3 linked regions of the Drosophila melanogaster genome follow. The protein of the gene in region 2 interacts with the protein of the main gene of each other region in a pairwise test. Each region holds a gene or a part of one and is shown on either strand. Other genes may lie near its edges.

Region 1 (4,502 bases), on a different chromosome or scaffold from region 2:
GTCGCCATGCACTTCCTGTACGTAGCGGATGACCACGACCACACCGCCATGATCATCTCGATTGTATTTTTCTCGGCCGTCACCTTGGAGGTGTTTGTAATCTGCTATTTTGGGGACAGGATGCGGACACAGAGCGAGGCGCTGTGCGATGCCTTCTACGATTGCAACTGGATAGAACAGCTGCCCAAGTTCAAGCGCGAACTGCTCTTCACCCTGGCCAGGACGCAGCGGCCTTCTCTTATCTACGCAGGCAACTACATCGCACTCTCGCTGGAGACCTTCGAGCAGGCAAGGCACAATTATATATTCAAATGTCCTTTGATTTGATTCAAATATGATATGATTCACTTGATTCCAGGTCATGAGGTTCACATACTCTGTTTTCACACTCTTGCTGAGGGCCAAGTAAGAACTTTATAATCTCTTTTTGGGGAGAAAAATTTTAAAGCACAATAGCAGAAAAATATATCAGATAATATAACAAAAAAAAAGATCATTATAGTTTTTTATTTAAGTGGTTTATTACTAAGGTATCCAAAAATAAAGCGAAAAATCTGCAATTTCAGATATTTAGCTTTGTTCAAAAGCAACGATTTTTAGGCGGAAGTGAATCAGTCACCGCTATCCGTCGTATCCGCTGGGGCAGCATCAGCTGCAGGTTCTGGCTCAGATGCAATAGCTGTAGCGGGCGGGTCGTCCACCGTGTTGTCTTTTTGTGTCTTCCACATCTTAGCTGCAGCCAGCAACTTGAGATTGGGTCGAGCCATTTCGTCCTCGGGAAAGATGTAGTCGAATACCTCCTCCCAACCTTCCTCGACGCCATTGTCCGAGACGATCTTTTGCCGCTTCTTGATGCGCCGCGGCATCTTGTCCATTACCTTTTGCATCTCCTGCGAATCGGAGGCGTCGCGTTCAAAGTCGCGCCATGCCTCTAGCAACAGAACACGCGACTCCTTGTCTCCCAGCTGACGCAACATCTCGTTGGCTCGCTCATAGATTCTCCTTGCCAGCTGCACGTTCAGCTCCGCATCTGGCCCGCTGTCGCCGTGGCTGAGGCCCATCTCGAACTTGGCAAACGACATCCACACTTTCACATGCTGCGTCCGCTCAAGGAGTCGCTCGTAAAGCTGTCTGGCTAGCTCTGTTTCGCCTAGGGCTACCTCGAAGTCGATGTACGCCTTCCACAGCAGCTCTGGCATGTCCAGGCGCGGCTGCTGCACCGCCAGCTCGAAAATGGCTCTCGCCCGGTCCGTGTCGCCCAACAGATTCTCCAGCTCGGCAAACTTCATCCAAGTGACACAATTCTCCGGTCCAAACTCCAGGAACTTCTCGTACAGCATGCGGCAGCGCTCGAACTCACGCAACTGAATCTCCAGATCAATATAGCCTCTGAAGAGCTTATCTCTGGGACACATGCCGATGGCCAAGCCCAGAGCTTTGCGTGCTCGCTGCAGCTCCTTGCAGCGGATCTCGAATTGGGCGTACAGCAGCCAAAGCTTGCTGAAGGTGAACTGCTTGTGAGGTATTAGCTCCAGACAGGTCTTGTAGATCTGCCGCGTGCGTTCCGCGTCCTCCGCTTCAAGCTCCTCGTACAAAGCATAATTGATCCAAAGGTAAATGTAGCGTCGCCAGAAGTTCTTTTCATTGGCAGGCGGCACGTTGGAAATGGCCCGTTCGTACGTCTCACGGATCTGATCCCGATCGCCCTCAGCCTCAATCAAGCGCAAATAGTCGAACCAGGCATCGTAGTTGGTGGGATTGGCGGCCACCTCCTGCTCGTACTGGTACTTGCGCTTGGAAACAATCACATCCTCAATACCCGCTCTGTCGCCGTACTTTTTCTCGTGTTTCGTATAGGCCTTGAACAGCTCCTGTGTGCGATCTTTAGGTAGGTGATCTAAAGCGTACTTGTAGATGATGCGCGCCCTGTCGTGCTCCTTTTGACCCTCCTCGAAACGTGCAAAGGCGATGAACAGGCGCTCCTCGATGTAGTCGTCACCAAAGAACTCCACAGCGCGCTCAAATACCCGCCGAGAGCCGTGGATAAACCCATGAGACTCCTCAAAGCGGGCGAACTTTATCCAGTTCTTCACGTCCGGGTGCACATAGACAAATCGCTCGTAGATCTCCCGTGCCCGGTCGATCTCCTTGTAGCGCAGCTCGAAGTTGACGTAGGTCTGCCAGGCCTGCTCCTCCGGTTGCCACTCCATCCAGCGCTCGAACACCTGTCGCGCCCCTGCCACATTCTCCAGCATCTCCTCCATGTAGGTGTACTTGTACCAGAACTGGTTGACTCGCGGCATGATGGTCACTGCCCGATCCCACAGATTGCGAGCATGATTCACCTGCTTGTTCTTCATCTCCATCTCGGCGTATTTCAGCCAGAGGGTCACGTTCCGGTGCTCATTGTCCAACGCCCGCTCCCAGATAGAGCGCGCCCGCTGGATCTCCTGCTGCTGCTCCTCCCACTGAGCATATTTGATCCAATGGCTGACTACCATGCGGTTCTTGCGGAGATTGTCCTCGAAGGTCTTTCGCTTCCGCTGCTGATAGTCTGCCAACTCGGCGGGATCGGAGATCTTCTGCTTTGGCGGCGGCGGCAGAATCTCCAGATCTCGCTCCTTGGCCTCACGGAGCAACTGCTCCGCCGTAATTTGCACCTCCGCCGGCGCTTTGTTTTTGACCTGGTGAAATTTTGGATTGGATAAGTTGGTTTGGTGGATTGCCGACGATGGCACATACCTTGGCCACCTTGGGCATCTTCTGTGGCCGCTCCATGCTGTGCGATTCGGGGTCCCTCACTTAGCAATGTTATGTTGGAAAAACGCTAAATCGCAACAAAATAAATAATGCCACTAACAACGTCGTGCGATAACGATAGGCATATTTCGATAGTTCGCTATCGATAATCGCTTTTTGTCTCCACTGGCCTTTTGCGCATTCTACTTTTGAATGTGTGTTTCAATTAAATCCCTTTTTTTGTTGTATTTCCATAAATATATACTAGTATAATAATTGTACATTGTTGGGTTAAAAATAAAACGGATAACGCATTTTTTACTTATTTATTTTTGAGCAATTTCAACACAAATTTAAAAAAAAAATGGATATTTAAGAGATGAAAAGCCACAGGAACTGTTTATCCCAATACACTTGAAACACTTTTAACCGTCTTCAGTTGAAGGAGACTCCTTGCTACCGTGGAAGATGTTCTAGGTAATCATTTGAAAAATCTCCACGAACTCTCGTTCCGCTTCTCCGGCTTCACCACCACCCAGTGATCGGGGTCCATCAGATAGTCGCTACAAAAGGCAACGAGGCGTTACTGAATAACTATAACATGCAGATCGAAACCCACCGATGCTCAACCAAGGCCTTTTGGGTATGGGTCCGCAGTGCTTCTAAGGACCCGGCTCCTCCGCCGTACTCCTCCGGCAGCATCTCCCGCGGCACGAACTCGTACAGCGTATTTATGCTTTGCGTGTGGAAACGGATCTAAAGTGTAGAAAGTAATGGTGAGATGAAGCTATTAGAGACATAATGGCTTCTCAAGAAACCCACCAGCTTGAAGACCTCGTCGCTGATGAACGGCTTCACCACGCTGACGATCCGATCCAGGTAAGTTGGACAGTTAATCATGTGAATGGCGCGCAGGCGCACCGGAAATGCCAGCTGGAGGAACTTGATGTAGGCGCGCAGCGTGCTGATCGTCAGCCGCGAAATGTGCCGCATTGTGGTGCCCTTCATGTCGAATATCTGCACCTCTCCTTCGGACAGGACATCCGGTTTGGCGAGATCGTCCGGCGTCACGAACCGGCAGTCGCTGACCATAAAGAAGGCGCGCGTGTCCTCCGTGTGGTGCATCTGGGGATAGCAATCGGCGGTATGGAGCGCAAGTTCCTACAGCAAAGAGAAGCTATTACTCACCTTGGAGGCCTCGAACTCCCGAAAGCAGTACAGCGACACCTTGCATTTGTCCGGCGTTAGGCCAGGCAGCGGTAGAATGTCTCTGAAATTCGAGTGTTGGGGTATACGGGTATGTATGTTTTTGGAACATGGCCCTGCCTCAAAGGAAAGGGAATCTTTTCTCCCAATAAGGACACACTTACGCGTAGTCAAAGGTGCGCTTGCTGTCCGCGTCTAGAGGATCCCTCTTGATAAACAGGTGAGGGTGCCGGTTGCGCAGGGCGTAGTTCACCTCGATGAGCTTCCGAGTCTCCTCCACGTCTCCAAACATGCACTGGTAGAAGCGCCGGAGCAGCAGCGGATCTGTTAATACACATATGGTACGATACAATGAAGTTTTTGCTAAGGAGTTAAGCCCATGGAACTTTGCACATTACGGGAATATTAATTAATTCAAACATCGTGTTGGACATATTGAATTGGGAAGTGCGGTTCGATTTAGGGAGACTTGCCTGTACATTCACTGTTTGTATACAATTGACTACAGTGACGTAAGGCGGCGAGCGGAGCGGCCTACTAACGACCTAATTAATGGA
Region 2 (6,417 bases):
CCACATGGGTTAAGTTACTCGAAGGAATTTATTCGGTCACAAGTTATATATAAAATGAAAAAAGAAAAATAAGCAGATTTGTAAGAGCAAGAACTAGATTAACAAATATTAGGATTTCCAAATGCAGTCTTACAAGCTTTATAAATCAGTAAGTAATATCCACTGATCTGGTATAAAAATACATAAAATGTCCTAAATTAAATGAGAATATCCTTACTGAAGAACCAATAACATTGTAAGCACAGTTCCATTTTAATTGCAACAATTTTGAAATATAGGATCTGTTACTCGGAAAATTCCTTGAGAGCCTGCCTGATCTTCGGCCAATCGGCGGCTGTGTAGTTAAGCGTTTTCATTTATGAAAATGTCTGAAACATGTTTCGCTTGCGCAAACAGAATGCGAGTGCGAGTATGCAATAAAATTCCATTACAGCAATGGCTCGACTTAAAAACTTGGCCGAAAAAAAAAGGAGGCAAGATGAAATTTCGTTGCATGAGCGAGAAGTCGTGGCAGGAGCATCGGGGGGAGCAGTGGGTGGAGCAGCAAGGGGATAAGGAACACGACCAGGAGAAGGAGCATCCTGCAAGTGTATTAAAAGCCCGCAGACATTTTCTCTCTACGTGAGTGCATCGCATGAGCTTGGCCCTGTTTGTTGGTGTGCAATGTGTGTGTGTGTGTGTGTGCAAAAGTCCTTGCATATTTTATGAAACTTGGCAAAGCATTTAACAACACAGGCACACCCACAGACAGAGGCAAACTCATTACTTGAATTTATTTAGCACTTAAACCAAATGTTTCATTCGCCTCAGCCGGCTGATTTGGTGGTGCTCATATCCGTGCATATCCGGAGTTTAGTTACCACTTTGGTGGCTTCAAAAGTACTCAGCACTCCTTGTCGCCCCTGCTAAGGATCAAAACTTCTGGTATTCTTAAGGATCCCGCGTGGGCAGCAAAATGCCGGGCACTCGGGAGCAGTAGGTACGGTGCCCTTAATCCGCTTTAGAAGCTTGGTCTTCCGCTCATTCATGGGTAACTGTGAGCAAAGATGCCCCTTTTTATGGACATAGCCACAGCGTGTGCAAAGGTCCTCGAGCGTGTTGATTAGCAGCTTGTTCTTGGCACAGGCTTCTATGGATCCGCTGGACAAGATCTCGCAGCTGGACGAGGACGACATGGAGAACGGGGTAGTGGGCGCGGGCACAGGCACCTTTACTCCACACCGAGGACACTTGTCCAGGATCATCGAATCACCAATTTTCTCAACTTGGCCTTCGCATGCCAAACACTCTGCGGAACAGGAGATCTTCTGCAGGCGACAAGTTTTTCGGGGTGAGTAGTAAAGTTCCTCGATGGGCCTAAGATCTTTGCTCCTCTTCCTTGCCGTAAAAGTGGTGGAACGGAATTTAGGACGCCTAAATTGTGCAGAGGTATACAATTCTTCGACTTTTCCCTTCATCTTCTTGTGGACCAACTGCTCCACTCGCGATTTGCGATCCAAAGCCTGAAAGAAAGAATAAAAATGTATTTCGAAGATGTTATTTTATAACTTTTTGGCGGTTGAGTATAGTTAACCCACCTGAAACATCAGCTGGTGCTGGTTCATCATGCTCCTAATGTTGTGTAGCGAGTAGCGCCACTCGATGTCCCGCACATCCTGCTCCTCGTTGGCCGCCAGATCCAAGCTGTTGTTGAAGCTTATAGTTGATCCAAAGGTGCTGCTAAAGCGTCTTCTCTTACGCTCCTCGCGCTCCAATCGTTCTGCATTGAGCTCCTGCTCGAGGAGTTTATTGTACATTCCGCCGTTCATCTTGATTTCCTGCGACTGGCGTGAGCTGTGAGATGGGTCAATTTTGCTCGTCCTTATTCCCCGCATGCCGAAGGGAATGAGCCGTGTGCTGACCCGCTTCCTAGACCACCAGTTTCGCTCCATAAACTTTTCCACCTCTTTCTTCTGTTTGGCTTTCATAGATTCGGTTTCCAAAACGTTAAGCATATTGTCCCGCGGCGGTTCCATTCGTGCATAGTTCTTCTCGGTCACTATTTCGTTAAGATACTCCAAGTACTTTTTGGCCAGACTTTCCTTAATTTGCGTTAACGTAACTCCTGCATCTGTGAGTTCGTTGTAGAGACTCTGAAGATGGGACCACATTTCATGGTTAGCTACTTCCTGCATAAGTCCATTAACATCGGCAATATACTCGATAACTTCGTTTCTTTGTATGACGTCCTTAAGGAGGAACTGCAAGTGTTTGAATTTGGCATCTGAGCGTAGATCTTTCAAATGAAACCGTTCGAATTCGAACTCTTTGACGTAGGGCTTTGGGGCATTTTCTGTTTTGTCGTGGCGATCTCGCACCGGTGCAAGGAGTTTTTCAAGATCATCTGGCAGCGCATCATATTTAAATTTATTTTTGGATGTCGATTTCGAAGATAGATGACCAAAAACTTGGCTTTGGGATTTAGTCGGATAAATACCAACTTGGGTATCGGAAGCCCTTCGTGGAAGATGCCTGTTCGATTGGTTCCCTCTGTGCAGAGCTGATTCGCTGGCTGTAATCCTAGATACACCCATATGCTCGCTGTTTGTAGGAAGGTACATGATATCCTTCTTCAAAGACTGATAGTGACTTTCCTCTTGACCTCTTGGAGGAGCAACGCGGATCTTCTTGGGTATGATGGGTGGCATGCGAATAGATTTACGGGTAAATTTTCGGTTTCGATTGCCCATAACTAATTTATTCAGTGATTCAGTGAGGGACGCAACGCTATCCCTTTTGAATAACACATGAGAACCACTCCTCTCGGCAGATAATTCGGGTCGGTCTTTGATTACGTAAACGCTGCTCGTACTGGAAAGCTTTTTGTGCTTATCCGACTTAGTGGCCACTTTTTCGGATCCGATGAAAACCTCTTTGGACGCAATCGAACTACTCGAACTAGAAGCTTGAAGTTTGTCACGTAGTTTTTTCCTATTTCTTCTCTCAATATCACGCCTCATATATAGGGGTATATCATTATATAATCTTTCGAGTACATTTTCTTGCTTTTCCAAGTCTCTTTTTTCCTTTTCCTGTTGAAAAGTTTCAGCTTCTTTAGTTTTTCCATGACGATTGCCCCTTTTCTTTGCCTTTGTCTCTAAAAGTGCATTTAATTCGTCTTTAATTACCCTATCCACATAGTGCATTTTACGCTTTCGAAGTTTAGGTCTTGTTACCTTGAATTTAATGATTTTCGGATCTGGAACATTTCTGGGAGCTCGTCCGCTTTTCACAATTCTTTTTATTCGTACTTTTGGGTTTAAAGTTGTAATATCGGAGATTTTGTCAAAATCAAATTTGGGGTTTCTTATGGCTTTTCTGTTAATTTTCGGGTTTTTAATAACTATCTTTTTCCAGTTGAAGCTGATTAGTTCCCTTATCAACATTTTCAGTTCCTCTAAAGATGGTTTTAATGGATCATGTTTCTTTGGCTTTCGAATGTCCTTCCGAATTCTTTTCAATTTTTTCCGAATAACAAGTTCATCTAAGCTGATATATAATTTTTTTCTTTTCCACAATTTCTTCTTTGATTTCCTAGTTTTATCATGTGCTGTATCTACTGGCACGTTTCTTCCTCTCATGGCCCTTTGTTTATTGATCATAGCGTTTGTTTGCAACACTTCAGTTTTCCAAAATTTAGCAAAGTCCTCGATTTCGAAATCCTTTTTAACCCTGCCACGGCTTAGCTTTCGTGGTCGCCTTCCCCGAACCTCCGATAAATAGTTTCGAACCTCCAGTGCCTCTGCCTCCCAGATCTTGTCCTGATCCTTGACGTGTTCGTAGTAATCCGGTTTCTTTTGCCACTTCCTAACTGCCTTGAACAGTCGATGGAAGCACTTGTCGACCAAGTTCTTTGGATTGCGGACTTTCTTCAACTGCCTCCTCAAGTGTCGAAGTTTGCGACGCATTCCCACTTTTACATGCTCCTGGTGCCGAATTAGCTGACTTTGTAACCTTAAAGCTTTTGACCAGCTGCGCAGCCAATGCTTGTACATGGAAAGCATACCGCCCACCGCCCTCCGTGTCTGCTCCCTCTTCTTCTGCTCCGCATCCCGCTGCCGGTGATCTATGGAGTTCCTCATCCTGTCGAGCAGATGGTCACGGATCCTTCTCATCACCTGAAGGCGGCGGTGGGCGTGACGCTTTCGCAGACGCAACTCCTTCGCCTTCCGCCGGATCTGCTTCTTCAGCAGCACCATCTGGGTGCTCCGGTGGAGCAGGGGCACTTGCATCGCGTACTAATCGAATTTGATCCCTTATCCTCTGAATTGTGTATACAAAGAATACCAATTAACTAGATTTTTAAACAGTCTTAAATGTCATGAAATGTCATAAAAAATTTAAAAGCTAACTCTATTAAAATTTGAACTTACTCATTGGCAAATATGTTATTATAAATTGAATTCAAATTGATTTTATTTTAAAATTCTTGTTTTATTATATATAAATTCATAAATATATTTAATTAAAATTGTCTTCAAAATAAACCCTTAAAGAGTTTGCAAATCACCGGCAAGTAGTTTCAAGGGGATGCACAATCTCTTATCAGACGGTGTGAACCACCTGGTCATTCGGGGATCCCAGTGCGAAACATTGCTCAGCTTACAGATAAGGCATCACAAATCTTCCATCTATAAATTGGTATTCATTGTCGGTTTCGATGGGAAGCCCCACTCAGAGATAGATTGCTATATAATTCACGGTGACCAGATCCCAGCATCGTCAGTCAACAGTCAGCCGCTTAGTCAAGTAGATCGAAAATCAAGAGATTAATACAGCAAGATGAGCAAAATTGTTCTCCTAATTGTGGTCATCGTTGGCGTACTTGGCTCCCTTGCGGTGGCCTTGCCCCAACGTCCGTATACCCAGCCACTGATCTCCACCACCGACGCCACCCAGAATCTACAGGGCACGTCGCCAGGTGTTGGGTGGATCACTCACATCCAATCCGAGTGGCGGTGCCGATGCCCGATTGGACCTAAGCAAGGCCGTTGGAACTCCCGATCACCATGTTATTGGACAAGTGTTCGCAGCGGGCAACACGCAGACCAAACCGGTATCCACTCCCGTAACCAGCGGCGCCACCCTGGGCTACAACAAGTGAGTCTCTTAAAGGATTACGATCTGAGCAATAGCGAAACTAATCTTATTTTTCATGAGCAGTCATGGACACGGCCTGGAACTGACCAAAACCCATACGCCCGGTGTGCGGGATAGCTTCCAGCAAACGGCCACCGCCAATTTGTTCAACAACGGTGTTCACAATCTGGATGCCAAGGCATTTGCCTCGCAGAATCAGCTTGCCAATGGCTTCAAGTTCGATAGAAATGAAGCTGCACTGGACTACTCCCACATCAAAGGTCATGGAGCTACCCTGACGCACGCCAATATTCCCGGATTGGGTAAGCAATTGGAGCTGGGTGGGCGTGCCAATCTTTGGCAGTCGCAGGATCGCAACACAAGGCTAGATCTGGGCAGCACGGCATCCAAGTGGACAAGTGGACCCTTCAAGGGCCAGACCGATCTGGGTGCCAATCTGGGACTCTCGCACTACTTTGGATAAAACTATATTCTTAAAAATATTTTACAATAACTAAGTGTTATTCAAAATATTTATTGACATAAATTCAAACGAATTTTGTTGCTTATTTCAAATGTGTTAAAAATATATGACTTAACTCAAACAAAGGGAATTTTTAATTGAAAAAAACAACTAATGAATTGAAACAAAAATCTAAAACGTTGATTAAAGCGGTCTAAAGACCCACAAATGCCTTGGCCTGCTGCTCGCCCGCCTCCTTATAAAGCTCCGCCGTCTTTAGCAGTTTTATAAAACGCGGTGAGTACTCGGTGGTTAGACTCTTTTCCAGGACCTCGTCCAGGCTGGTCTGTTTGAGCACCTCCTGCAAACGGGCGTTACGTTGATTGCGCTCTGCGGATTCGGCCATCTTCTGGAGATAAACCAGATCCAGGAGCAATTCATCACGCACTCCAACCGCCGCCTGTTGATCCTCCATCGGTAGATCCTCGTACTGTCGCAGTAACTTCTTGACAATTCTCGACTTTTGGCTGATCTTACTCGGATCGAGCAATCGCACATCCTGACTGAAATCCTCGGCAAGGATTTGAAGTGTGCTCTGTCGCTTCTCACGACACTTTTGTTGCTCGTTGGATGTCTTGAGAATTAGGTCATAGAAGTCCTGGAGATCCGGACGCAAAGGAATGCATGCTCTTCGTCGCACCTGCTCATCAATTATGCTGCTAATCGCCTCCATTGTGTCCCGCAACATGGTCTCCGTGTGATGTAGATAACTCTCGGTCTTGTCATTGCGGATTTGATAGAAGTTTTTGGACTGCTTCTGTTCACACTTGCGATTC
Region 3 (4,497 bases), 7.3 Mb from region 2:
GTCTGAGTAACGGATATCTGATAGTCGAGGAAGTCGACTACAGCGTTCTCTCTTGCTTTAAATACACATATTTGTGTTTATTGCAAGGGTATCTAAGCTTCGACTTATCGGCGCCATCTTCTTTTCAGGTTGTGTATTGCGTTTTATCCGTGGCCTTGCCGATGCCAATCTCTTTTGCCGAGGCATGGGTAATTTTCGGCAAATAGAACTCTTGCCCAGGCTCAAAAGTCTTAACACATGTCTTGGGGAGAATTGGAGTAGAAAAATTGTAACACATGGTTAAGCACATTTAATCGTTGGGGTCTTAACCTTTTAATTTTATCACCCGCTCAACTTAACATATTTAAAAGGGTTAGGTTTTGAAAGATCAACTGTTTTGGCTTAAAGGTAAAATCTGCTCTTTTCTTGACTTATTCATCTTGTCCACTATAAATGCACTTCGCGAGTCAACTAAAAAAAGAGTCCGAAAACGTCAAATAGCTGCTGGCAACAACAAAGAATATGTCAGTCTTTTTTCTAAATCAGGAAACTTTTTCTTTCCTGTATCAAACTTTTGGATAGGTTTTTCACGAGCGAAAGCGGAAAAGTTAAATTTTCCGCTTAGTCCTAGCCGTAGACAAGCCATTTCATTTAAGAGGCCATCCCATGGGATCACTGGGCAGGCAACAGCCATCAACAAGAGAAATGATTAAACTTGACTGACCAGACACGCGCCTTAATGTCGTCAATTGACCTCAATCAATTATACACAATATTTTTTATTTGACCTTCGTTTATTCCATTAGAGTTTTTTTTATTTGTATTAAAATTCGGCGATGTGACTGTAAAACGCATCTGAGGCAGCCATTTGGCCTAGGAATAACATTTTTTCATGATTTAGCGTTGTTGTACGAGCTGAATTTGGTATGTGCTAGATAAAAACCAGCCGTTAAGCAATTTCAAATGTCGGGACACGGGTGAAATAAGCATTTGCCACCCGCAGTCAGTTCCGAGCAGGGGATGTCTTGGATGCCCCGTTGCGAGCAACCGCTTAGCAAAAGGCAAAGCCAGATATTATATGTTATCACCAGCGATGTATTACTGCTTCTACAGCACAGTGACTCAATATACAAATAAAGGTGAGAAAAAAATGCGATTCTCCTTTTTTTGACTTGTGCAAGAGCTTTTGATTTTGGAAACGAAACGTAGCCCAGAGAGACAGGGTATGGCGTTCCGTTGTATTTCGTGTTAGATAAATCATAAAGCAAAAATAATTTAATACACTTGCGTGCCCTGGTTGTAGCTCTGGCGACGAGGCGTATGTGCAATGCGGCGTGTCGGTTAATCATTTGCTTCTTTTATGAGCAGCCAAGCCGAATAATAAGCCTCAAAGAAAAGCGAGCTTAAAGGTGCACCTCAAACTCTGTTAAATTCACGGCCTATCACGACGGCACGACCCAACGCTCAACGCCAACTCATTATTTCCCCTGCAGCTCTAATTAGAGTCAAATATAACTAGGGGGCCTTGAGGACCCCGTACGCTAGCCTTGGCCATATTTAATGCGAGCTGAAAGGTCCGCGAGTTATGCAAATTTGCCCCGCCCACCGAATGCTCCGAACATTGACAAAATTATGCGCAATCGCGGGCCAGTCTCTCGGCTACCAACTTCCGGCGACAAAGTCAAGTCATGGATGGACATCCTGACCTCGCCCGCGGGTCCAGCCATTAGTCGTCATTAAAGATGATTGAATGCGAGCCCCGCTTTTGCATTGTATAAAAGGGGCACACTCCTGGTGACAACAGGGTAGGTAAAGTTGCCTTGGCGTCAGTTGGCAGTTTGGGAAAAGCCTACACACTTAATATTTCGATAGATACACTTATTTCGCAATCGTAGAAGATACCACAAATCTCTCTTCCGTAAATTATAAGTATGTCCAAGAGGGTGAGCATCATGTTGCCCGACGAAATACCTGCGGCTCCGTCAGGCAGCAGGAGGAACCCGATGCCCAGCCGCACACTCAAAAGTTCCATTAAAAGTGGATCAAGCGCTCGGACGCAACCCGCACCGCCAGTGTTCGTGGTTGTCAACCCGGAGAGCAGCCAAAGCTCGCTTACCTCGGGTCAGCGGAACAACACCAGCACGACCAGCAACAGTTCCCTTAACCAACGAAATAAGGAGCACTCCGCGGCGAGGTTGTCAGTAACCGAAGATACGGCAGCCCTGGACAGCAGTGCCTTGCTTCAAGGTGGATCCTCAAACTCTCGTGATACAGTTAACTTCGATTCGACCTCCACCTCGATCAGGATGTTCCTTAAGAACACAGTGGGCCTTGTCAGGGCAGGAGAGTCCTTCACATCTGTAAAACATCTCTTTCACAAGTTCATCAAACGCAGCGGTTCTGTGCCAAATTCCAAGCGTTCGTTGACATCCTCCTGCTCCCAGGCGGTAGATGAGGAAAATCCCTATATGAGCAAGTCCAATGATACGCTTCTGACGGACTCGCCCACCCGCACTACTGTGCCCAGCACCTCCCAGATAACGCCCACCTCACATTTCTCCAACTGCTCATTCAATAACACGAACTACGACCTTTCCAACCTCCTCTCTGACATCACCCCTTTGACTGGCTACACGCCAGTGGGTCTCACTGAGGAGGCTGACTACCGAACAGACACTTCCGCAAACACCGCATTGAACAGTGTGACATGCAATTTGGCGAGCTCGTCGGAGAATCCTTTGGGAAGCGGATTCGACAACAGTCCCTCGAAGATTTCTACCGATCAGGAGAAGATAGCGGACACACAAGGACGTCCTACTTCCAGAAATCGCTTTAGCAGCAAATCTTTTCGCCAGAAACTTAAGACCTCGCGCTCTAGTTCACCCAGAAAGTCGCCCAAGATGTCACCTCGAAATAAGCAGTCAGCACCTGCAATGGAACCCATATTTGCAATGGTTAGTTCATCTGGGCCTAACTCTTCTGAGGGATCACGGCGATCGAGCAAATCGAGCCTGAGGCGGAAGCAAAGTCCATTACCCAACGTAACTGCCAAAATCTCGGCCACCTCTAATTCAAGAGCGGACTTGGCTAAAGCGCCCAAGTCCAGGAAAGAAACCACCGCCCGATCAAACCTATCAAGAAAGAGCTACCGCCGGAGTTCACCCAGAAGCCGAAGTCGAGGTTCTCGGGCAAACGCCTTAGAGAGCCCCCTTCAAAAGAGCGAGGACACCCCCGACAATGTAGAGTACGCCTTCGCTCTGGTCAGCCCTGAGGAGGCGGGGAACAGTCAGCCTGAAGAAAGTAGTGCCGGTGTCGAGGATGCCTCCTCCAAGTGCGAGACATACCAAAAGGATTGCAATTGCCACCATTGCCAGGACATGCGTCGGGCGGTCAAGAGGTCCGACTTTTTCAAATCTCCCGAGGGACAGAAGCGGCTAGAGGCGAAGCTACTGGCCAAGAACTTCTTCATGGACCTATGCGTAGCGTCAGAAGTGCGCCGACAGGCTCAGTCCGATCTGCATGGAAAACGACGTCCTCCATCAGCGCGTCTCAGTTACCCGGTGAGCATCTGTGGAGCGTGCAGGCTGAGCGGAGGCTCGCTGTCGTTGCATTGGATCACCCATGACCTTGACAGCGTAGACCACTTCGACGTTTTTGTGGACAACGTGCCAAACCGTAGTGTCTACAACCGGCAGGCCACCTCCACCGTGCTCGTCGACGTGAACACCACCGAGACGCACACGCTGCGCCTACGAGCGGTGCCGGAGCGTGGGAGCCGTGGTCAGGATTCCTCGGTGGACAAATTCATGTCGGAGGTGGCGGCCGGGCATATGCGTCACGTCAGGCAGGGCCAGCTCTTCGCCACGTGCTTCGCGCACCTGGACGCCCGGCCGCAACAGCGTTCACTGGTGGATTTCTGGACGGACAGCGAGTTCTTGTACATGCCCACCCGCGAAACTCTTACGCCTTCAAAGGCTCGCTGACTGGCGAAAATAAACTGATTTATGAGCAGCAGTCCGTTTTGGGAGTGGATATGCGGCAGGAACAGCTGCGTGGGTGAAAATTGATTAGGCTAATTTAGAAGTGATGACCAATCGGCGCACTAAACTCTCAGTGCAAAAGCAGTGGCCCGGCTCCCACCTGCACCACGTTTTGCGAGATATTCAAAACGAATCGTGGGCCTGGTGCGGCCATCAGTCAACGAGACATGGGCGCTAAGCATCCCGCGCGTCTTTATCAGTGGCTTGCAGGCAGGCTGGCTTGGCGTGGGGGGACTGGTACTGACGAAGGCGTTTCGCGCTGATCTGTCAGAGATTTTGGGCCGCAAAGTGGCATGATTAATTATTTGGCAAATATTTGGATTCCGCGCTCTCAGCTCAGCTGGCTTCACCATGGAAATAAGGAAAACCAAAAATATGCGGACTGGCACTTTCATAGAGGAAAGAACGGGCGAGAAACCCAAACCGTTCAGTATTTTAATTAATTTTCACTTTCGTTGGGGACTAGTGAGCATTCCAT

Evidence for each region. The genes of interacting proteins can lie anywhere in the genome.
Region 1: the proteins of CG43691 (region 2) and crn interact in a two-hybrid assay, tested with the Drosophila melanogaster proteins (one large-scale study listed by BioGRID).
Region 3: the proteins of CG43691 (region 2) and CG7856 interact in a two-hybrid assay, tested with the Drosophila melanogaster proteins (one large-scale study listed by BioGRID).

Annotation. Positions count from the first base shown.
Region 1 is NC_004354.4:2,247,086-2,251,587, forward strand, and holds crn (crooked neck), read right to left. Parts: upstream 2,899-4,502; 5' UTR 2,779-2,898; coding exon 2,743-2,778; intron 2,685-2,742; coding exon 612-2,684; 3' UTR 509-611; downstream 1-508. Other genes in the region: Or2a (odorant receptor 2a), read left to right, coding at 1-288, 359-409; CG3191 (uncharacterized protein), read right to left, coding at 3,221-3,302, 3,359-3,495, 3,562-3,864, 3,928-4,009, 4,110-4,269. UniProt on the Drosophila melanogaster protein: May be involved in pre-mRNA splicing process. Involved in embryonic neurogenesis and cell rearrangement during Malpighian tubule morphogenesis.
Region 2 is NT_033778.4:13,388,948-13,395,364, forward strand, and holds CG43691 (uncharacterized protein), read right to left. Parts: upstream 4,415-6,417; 5' UTR 4,272-4,414; coding exon 1,578-4,271; intron 1,503-1,577; coding exon 906-1,502; 3' UTR 548-905; downstream 1-547. Other genes in the region: CG4744 (uncharacterized protein), read right to left, coding at 5,796-6,417.
Region 3 is NT_033778.4:6,056,849-6,061,345, reverse strand, and holds CG7856 (uncharacterized protein), read left to right. Parts: upstream 1-1,787; 5' UTR 1,788-1,910; coding exon 1,911-3,962; 3' UTR 3,963-3,989; downstream 3,990-4,497.